2 linked regions of the Saccharomyces cerevisiae S288C genome follow. The protein of the gene in region 1 interacts with the protein of each later gene in a biochemical or structural test. Each region holds a gene or a part of one and is shown on either strand. Other genes may lie near its edges.

Region 1 (5,691 bases):
ATCACGTCAGATTACATTCAAGATCTTTTACCTGATTTCGACCAGACCAATCCGGATGCTTGGTTATCTGAACAAAAAGGCCTCCAAGAATTTCTTCTCAAGTCACACTGGAAGTTAAACAAATATCAGAATCTTATGAAAAAAATCAACATTTCTTTACCAGATAACCTAATACAGCAATACCAATTGACTGATGTTTTGACCCATCGTGTCTTGAATTTACGATTTCCTACGAACACTGCCCAAGATGATAAATACATCATTCAATATTCAGATATCAGCCGCGGATTTTTGAACAATGGCTCCTACAGACAATTAGATTTCATCAATGTGAACCCCAGTGAAACCTCACTAAAAACCTTTATCAATGATGTTTTAAGCTTTTAAGTTTAACGGAAAAGAGTAATGACAAAACCGCATACCCCCCCCCCCTCCCCCTCTTTACCGCATCTACTCTATTTCCGACACATGTAAATAAAAAAGGCATTTCGTTTATATATATACTAAAATAATATATCTTTGTGTATTAATAAATTACTTATTGAGACCAAGCGTTTTTGATAGCGCCGACTTAACAGCAGCACTCTTTTGCTTTTTTTTTCCTTCCGCTGTACCTGGACCATCGTTTCCTGTTTGTGCCTCCACAGGTAAGGGCGGCAACTCTTCGTCATCTTGATCCGCTGGTGCCGTCATCTCACCTAACGCATTTAACCTTCTTTGTCTTTCGAATTCAGTTTCTGATTCATATGCATTATCGTCGTAATCTTCACTATCGTCCATGTTATAACTATCACCTAAATCCTCCTCAGATGAAGGTTCATCTTCCAGATCTAAGGAATCTTGAACTCCTCTCGGTGGCGCAGGTGTTAATGTCCTTTTCTTTAACATCCCTGGGCCCTTCCTGGAGGGTCCTTCGATGGCTTTTTCTTCATCTACTGGAGGCGGTACGCCGCTGTTCGCTTTGCTCTTTAGTCCTACTGCTGTTAAAGCTCTTGATACAACACTATCGTTTCTTGGGCGGTTTTTACTTTTATCATCATCAGATTTATGAGGATTTATCTTGTATCTTTTTATAACATCACCGTCCTCATTCTCGATGATTAACAGATTGTCTATTTTAAATGCATGATACTTGCTGTTTTTATTTTTATCCTTTCCTTTATCAACCAATGAATGTATCTTTCCTAAAGATGTGGGAGTTAAAATTCTCTTTAACCTTCCCCCACTACTACTGGATAGATTGGTCATTGTGGTAGTTAAACTTGAATGGGCTGTACTATCAACACTAACTTCGTCATCTCTCGCCTCATTGCGATCCTCGATATCTACTTGATTCAAGATTTCACCTTGCTTATTTTCAATAATCATTCTATTACCATCTAAATAAGCAGTACCAGGTTTCATTTCTTCCTCTTTCATTTTTCGAATTCTCCTCTCTTCACTACTGGCCATTGATCTTTCACTTTCATTTTCCATCTCGTCTTCGCTTTCAATCTCGCTTTCTGTCTCTTCTCCATCGTAACGGTTTCTTGGTACGTAAGTTCTTCCTCGGAGAGATGAAGATCTTTCAGACGACTCAAAACTTGGTGTGTTATTGTAATTATCGCTATATTCCTTTTCCGGTGTGTACTCATCTTCTTCTTCATCTCCACCCATTCCAATCTCCTCATTACGTTGTGTATTGACGGCTGTGCTCAATGCAAATGTGGCGGCGCGTGCTTCCTTTTCTTTTTGCAACCTTTCTCGTCCCAGATCATTCAACTCATCGTCATCATACATTTCATTTTTAGATCTTGATGAAAATATTTCTCTACCTTTGTTTCTCAGTTTCTGTCTTCTGTTCAATCTTTTCTCTTTTCTTGACAATTTCCTCCTCCTTGGCATACCACCAGCGGGTCTTGCAGGAATTCCGCTCGTTGCGACGCTACCAATTTGATCATTGTTTAATCCTTCTTCATCTTCACCTCCTGCTAGTCCCTTACGACCTCCTCCTTCTTCTGCTTCACCTTCATCCCCTGATAAAGTCATTTGAGTATCCATACGATGCAATGAAAATGATCGTCCAGCTTTATCCAACGATGGCAACCTTTGCATCCATGAACTTTTCCCATTATCACCATTGGTGGTGTGTGTAGTGAATGTTTTGGTTAACGTTATCGTGTTCAAATGACGACCTAGAGTTATGATTGCAACTGAAGAACCATGAACTATGATAGAAGTAACAATGAAAAAACAAGTTATTGGCCATATACAGGCTATCAGCTGCCAATGTTTACTTTCCTCTTTTGATGGTACAACATTTAAAGGAGTGGGTTCGTCACTAAAGGTAGACTCTAATTCTCCACGAGCTAGTATAGCGGCAAAAATTGCACCTACACCAATAGGACCAAAATGGCCCACAAAAAGTGCCTCACGCCACGATTTTATATCAGGTATAAGAGGTCTTAATATCATGACTGCAGGGATCCTACGTAAAAAGATGACCACTATCGAAAGTATAATTAAACGCCAGACGTTTGTGCCAATTTCACCGTTGTTGAATTGACTCCAAGGTATAATGGCACCAAAATAGATAAAATACGCATAGTTTAGTAGCAAATCAATCACGGTAGAAACATTACTTTCTTGTGTCTTTTGAGAAAACCACCCATCCCAAGCGAAAGTCGCACCGGCTGCAAATGATACCAATAGGTCATCCACACCCAAAATGGAGCCGAACCCAGCACACATGAACGCCAGGACAACGTAAAATGCTAAGAACGACTCACGATCGATAATGTTTTTCTTTTCGGCAAACCTGATGGTGATTCTGCCTACATAACCAATGAAGCAACCTAGCAAGCATCCAAACAAACACTCATACAGGATAGTAACGCAAATCCAATCTTTGACAATTTCTCTTCCATTACCGGGATGTAGGATTAAATTCATAGAAAGAAATAAAAAAGGAAAGGCCATACCATCATTGCAGCCTGACTCTGCAGACAGTAGATTTCTTAAGTGACCAGGTACTCTTTGGGCAAACTTACCGGAGACGACCGACTGCGCCAGAATAGGATCTGTTGCGGTAATGCACGCAGATATCAACAAACTAGCAGAAAAATTCAAGCCAGGTATAAGAATCCAAACGAAGAGACCAATAATAAGCCATCCAGCTGTCATCACTGGCAATAATAGCATCGTCACAGATACCCAATGCTTCAACATATATTTCCGTGGCAGTTCCACGGCAACGGCAAAAATTTGCAAACATAATACTATTCTCGTTATCTCTAATGTTATACTGTCTGAATTCCCCCATTTCAGAGGATTAAACCAGTTCAAGCAAACAGGACCCACAATTAGCCCAAATATACCTGCTACGGTGGACTCACCAATATAAAGCTTCTCCTTGACATAAAGTGACACTAAAGAGAAGATAGATGAAAAGACACCAACACATGCATAAGCAACGTGCGCCTTTGAGACTTCTAGTTGCTCCCAGATAGCCATAATATCTAGCTAAGTTCAGGATTTTTTTTTATAATGTACAAAAAAACACGATGCTTGGGAAAAATAAGTGCAGTGGAAAATGAAGCTTAAAAATCAAATGTGTGTAGAAAGTGTGATCCTATGTAAATCGCTAAGTCCGCTTTATCTTGACGATAACGGATCCAGCAGCTTTTAGATTATTAGCTATATCACACAGAGTTGGCTTAGTGCCCTTGCTAATCAAAAATGAAAATCTTCCCAATCCGTACGGAGGGGAAGAGGCACTGCCGCATCGCAAAGAAAAATAAGATTATCAGCATTATATTGTTTCTATTATTATATATGGGACTAGGTGATAAGATAAAAGTTAAAACGGGACTCTTGTATGACCTGGTCAACGATATCATAAACCGTGAAGTCATATTCTATGATGGCTTTCTCCAAGAACAGTGTTGTCACCTCTTGTGACCGCAAGTGTATCCCCACGAGGACATGGAATTGCAAATTGTAGGTAGTTTGTAACCAGTGTTTGAGTTGCTTGAGCGTCTTCAGAAACGGATCTATCAGGTACTCGTTGTATATGACATCCATAGCTATAACGTACACGGAAGAACATGTTTCACCTATGAGTGACAACTCAGGATGCAGAGAGTGGGTCTTTTTGTCTTGCAAGTTTATCTTCTCCCAGTCTAGAGCGGCTACTTCCAAATGCAACGTAGACTTAGATGGAAGTGACGCTGCGGTGATATCAGCGTCGCCAACTGGTTCGACGGTGGGAAGTTCCAATCTTAGTGATCGGGAAATGCACCGCTTTCTGGTCAACTGTGATAAGTTTTCCATGATGTTATCTTTTAATTTATTAAGAATGCCCTTCTGATCTGTCGACACGTAGGTGTCGACGAAGTTACCAAGAATCACGGGCAAAATACCTGATATTCCTGCTCCAAGTTCCAAGATACCTCTCTTGCCGCGATCAGCGCCCGTGAGGTCGACCAGCCTGGGCAACTCAAGCTTGTGCCCCTCGCAAGAAGACCCGCAGGTTACTTCCACCTGACTCCCAAGACGGAAAGGTGCAGCGCTAGTACTATACAGCAGCCAGTTGATGAAGAAAGGTGTGGTAGACCACAAAACGTATCCTGTGGTGGAGTTTCCGTTGTCTCTGGACGAGCGCAAGCTTGATATGGACTGCCCCACGCTAACATGATAGCTATCCACAGCAACATTCTGATCTTCTTCAACACTACTAGCCTTATTTCTTCTTCTCACTCGCTTTTTTTTTCTGCCGCCTTCCAGCCCAGAGGGTTCAAACGTTATCTCTAGCACACCGCCCCTTCTATCCTGAATACCCAAATCCTGCGCCAGTTTCCCGGACTGGCCCTCCAATTGTGTGTACCGTTCGAACACGTGCTCGTATATTGTTTCCTCATCCAGTAGCCATAACTTGAATGCCATTCTGCCTAGCCCATTTGCGTCTTCGCTGCCGTAACCATTCTCTCTTCTTGACAGCACTGCCTTGGTCAGTTCTCTATATTTGTCGCGCCGCCGCAAAATGCACCCACATTAAAGAAGACGACGCCAATCGACACCCTAATTTGGAGGTGTAGATGCACAATGGCACATGCAGTTGGGTGCATTGTGCCAGCAATCTCGTCTCGATTTCTCTACATGTAACTTGTATATATATTTGAGAGAAGACATAATCGTTGGTGGGACTTGGAGGCTCTTGGTAGGTCGTATTTGTGCATCTTGAGAGAAAGCGAAACAGTGCTGCAAACTCAATACGTAAAAAATAACGCAATATGTGGGCTCAATTATCATATACTAGACCAGAATCTCAGAAGACTGACTTAACGTCGTTGTTTTCCACAGATCAAGAGCAAAATCCATTAAATGACTACCAGTACCAGATCAATATTAGGGAACTGGAGGAGTATTACAACAAGACGATTTTAAACGAGGATAACATACAGGAAACAAGCAGTGAAATATCTTCGGCAGTTTCATTCTCTCCACCAAAAAATACAAACGCTATTCAACCGGGGCTACTGTATGATCCACAGTTAATGAACCCTTTTCTCCCATCCGCTCACCTGAATAGCACGGCACCTACTACTTTTAAAAAGAAACTAGAGGTACAAATAAATCCGGACTATGTCCCAAAATCTTCACAATTACCATTAACTTCACAGAATTTGCAACAGTTGTCTCAACAAAAGCCCA
Region 2 (3,553 bases), on another chromosome or scaffold:
GTTGGGATTCCACTGTTGGTAAACGCAATAATATTAGGTATACAGAATATACTAGAGGTTTTTCTTCGAGGATCTTGGGATCCAAAATAGGGAATCGGTATTTCTGCATAATATTGCTATTATTTCTCCTTCTATTTTACATGCTTCATTATCCTATTACATTATCTAGCTATGCAATTCAGCTCTCATTAAGTCTAATGACTGTTTTTCAATTGTTGTATAATCTTCTTATACCTCATTTGATAATATAGCAATAATATAAAATAGTACTCTATAGGTTATAGGAGTCTTAATACAATGAGCGCGCCATTATCGTTCTGTAAAGTAAATAGTCATTCACATAACGAGCTAATAAAAATCTCCAGATGGCACACATAGTGTATGGCAACATCAATGAGAAGAATAAGGTCTTCGAGGAATAAATTGTTCTAATCATGACAAAAACTACATAACAGAAGACTGAAAGACTGCATTAAAAAAATATTATTAGCATGAACACTAGTCAAAAAATGACACTAAGATTTCATTCCAACACTACATTTTTTCGGAAAACGTTTTATTGAAGTACTGCTTTATGGTCAGCACGTATCGCTTCATATATGATAACCTTACACAGTATCTTTCCGAAAAATCATGAAACGAAGTAACACAGCATCAATTTCTGTGAGAAATAGACAAAGATGTTTCAAAAGTTCCAACATATAGTGAGCATCGTTCATATACCTCGTACAAATCAAATTTGTCTCTTGGAATACCGAAAATTAGCCGCTCAAACACTCTCCGTTGTTAATGACAATTACACCATAGCCGCTGCCGTAGAAAATGCACGGTCTTCCGTGACGAGAAGATTCGGGGGCGAATCGCATAGATCGCTCTTTCTCCTCTTTCTCAATTCTGTCTTATCTGTATTTATAACATGAGCTCATAAACAAAGTCCCTGTTTATATATATTGATGACTTATATATCTTTCGCTTCAGCTTCTTCCCTCATTTCTACTTAATATTATCTTTTGAAATTAGCGCGATCAATTGCATTCTTTTCCACACCACCTTCAAATTTAAGAATTCATATTTGAATCGAACCGTATGTTTTACCTCTCAATAACTTGTTTCATTAATAGCTCCTTCCACAACCACCTTCATCTTCTCTGATTTGAATTATTACCGACATGAATGTTACTCTCCTGAAAATGTTAATTATATCAACTTAACAGGCCTTGAAAGTGAAGTGTTATAGTTTCTCTTCCTTTGTTTTTCCCACTTTCTTTTTTTTATATATATCTTATATTGGTTTAAGCACAGCGGATTGCTTTCTTCTAATACAAGAACTAGAACATAGGTCCACCCGTGTGATGTTGCATTCTGAAATGTTTAGTTATCTCTGTCAGAACAGCGAGGTAACACTTATTTTTGTTACGACCAATCCGTAATTCAAGCGTGGGTATTCATATGACCAGAGATAATAATACAGCGAATACTATTGAAATCGTCCCTTTTTTGTTTAGGAAGAACGGACAAATCGGTCGTCTGCTCGAAATGATTAGTAGTGTGTCACCCGGATCAGCAAAATGACACACACGAAATACGAGGAAAAAGTCGGTCGAAAGGGGCAAATGTTATTATAAGTCCCTCCAGTAGTCTTTTTTTTTTCAAATATTCATCATCAAAGGTTACGAAATCTTTTGAGCTATCTTAAACATTCGTTCTTTTTATCAAATTTCAATTACTAACTTATTTTTTCAAAAAAAATTGCCTCTCCCGGTTTTTAATCATTATTTTTTTCGATTGATTAAGGGGGAAAAGCAAAGAACGAGAAAACTTGGACAGAAGGTTAATACTCTGACAATTTCAAAACGAAGTAAAAAGAAAAATTATCAAATCAACAAAAAGTACCCGTTACAACAAAAAAAATGTCCCAAACTCGTGAAGATTCTGTTTACCTAGCTAAATTAGCTGAACAAGCCGAACGTTATGAAGAAATGGTCGAAAACATGAAGGCCGTTGCTTCATCAGGTCAAGAGTTATCTGTCGAAGAACGGAATCTATTGTCGGTTGCTTACAAGAACGTCATCGGTGCTCGCCGTGCTTCATGGAGAATAGTTTCTTCGATCGAACAAAAAGAAGAATCAAAGGAGAAATCTGAACATCAAGTTGAATTAATCCGTTCTTACCGTTCTAAAATTGAAACTGAATTGACCAAAATCTCTGACGACATTTTATCTGTGTTAGATTCTCATTTAATCCCTTCTGCTACTACTGGTGAGTCTAAAGTATTTTACTATAAGATGAAGGGTGACTACCACCGTTATTTAGCTGAATTTTCCAGCGGAGATGCAAGAGAAAAGGCAACCAACTCCTCTTTGGAGGCTTATAAAACCGCTTCCGAAATCGCCACAACTGAATTGCCTCCAACTCACCCAATTCGTTTAGGTCTAGCTTTGAATTTCTCCGTCTTCTATTACGAAATTCAAAACTCTCCTGATAAGGCTTGCCACTTGGCCAAACAAGCCTTTGATGATGCTATTGCTGAGTTAGATACTTTATCTGAAGAATCATACAAGGATAGCACTTTGATCATGCAATTATTAAGGGACAACTTGACCTTATGGACCTCTGATATTTCTGAATCTGGTCAAGAAGATCAACAACAACAACAACAACAGCAACAGCAACAGCAACAACAGCAACAACAAGCTCCAGCTGAACAAACTCAAGGTGAACCAACCAAATAAGAGCGCTGAGAAATACAAGGGGAAATGAAGATTTACCACTCCAGTTTTCTTGCTAACGAAAATGAATGCAATTCGATTTTGATACTTTTTTTAGGGGAAGAGATAATATCTTCGTCTAATACAAATTCACAAAATTTTCAATTTTACCAACTACAAAATATACAAACCTCTAAAAAAATAGTTTCTTAATATATAACATAAAATAGTTTTTCTGTTACTATTACTTCTATCACTGTTTTCTTCGTGTATTCTTATATTTTGGCTATCGTTCAGAGTTGAGACAATTTGCGAGAGTAATTGAGTAGTAATTTTCGTATGTTTTAAAATAAGTTCCTTCCATTGTATACGCACCTCTTTCTTCTGTTTTCCTTTGAATCTTGATCTACCTTACCTATTGAAGGTGAAGGCATCTTTTCTCATTTGATGAAACAGCGCTCCCTGGGTGTAGGGGGGCGGGGGTATAGTAGCGTAAATCCGCAACGGAAAAATACTTCGAGTGGAAAACTATGACCATTAATATGTATGTCTTACAAGAGAGGACAATAAACAAAGTCAAATAACCACAAGGGATCACAAACGAAAGGATGTCAGTTATTCCTCCAAAATTCTTCAAGATTGCAAATATATCAATTGGCTGCATAGACATTATTGCTGCCCTTTCACAATTGACGTATATTTTCACCAATTTAAACGTCTTCCTCTTGGCAGTTTACGGACTGGCACTCTCCGTACCTATCGTCTATCTGGAGTTCAAGGTTCCGTCAAATCTTTACAGGTATGCTTCCTTTTACTTTAGTTTTCTTGGAAGGGGTTTATCTTAT

The links.
Region 2: the proteins of NHA1 (region 1) and BMH2 interact in a test that uses a peptide from one of them, tested with the Saccharomyces cerevisiae proteins (one study listed by BioGRID).

The regions. Positions count from the first base shown.
Region 1 is NC_001144.5:416,238-421,928, reverse strand, and holds NHA1 (Nha1p), read right to left. Parts: upstream 3,493-5,691; coding exon 535-3,492; downstream 1-534. Other genes in the region: SLS1 (Sls1p), read left to right, coding at 1-387; RKM5 (S-adenosylmethionine-dependent methyltransferase), read right to left, coding at 3,820-4,923; TIS11 (Tis11p), read left to right, coding at 5,271-5,691. UniProt on the Saccharomyces cerevisiae protein: Sodium export from cell, takes up external protons in exchange for internal sodium ions. Also capable of exporting potassium ions.
Region 2 is NC_001136.10:651,697-655,249, forward strand, and holds BMH2 (14-3-3 family protein BMH2), read left to right. Parts: upstream 1-1,910; coding exon 1,911-2,732; downstream 2,733-3,553. Other genes in the region: TVP15 (Tvp15p), read left to right, coding at 3,317-3,553.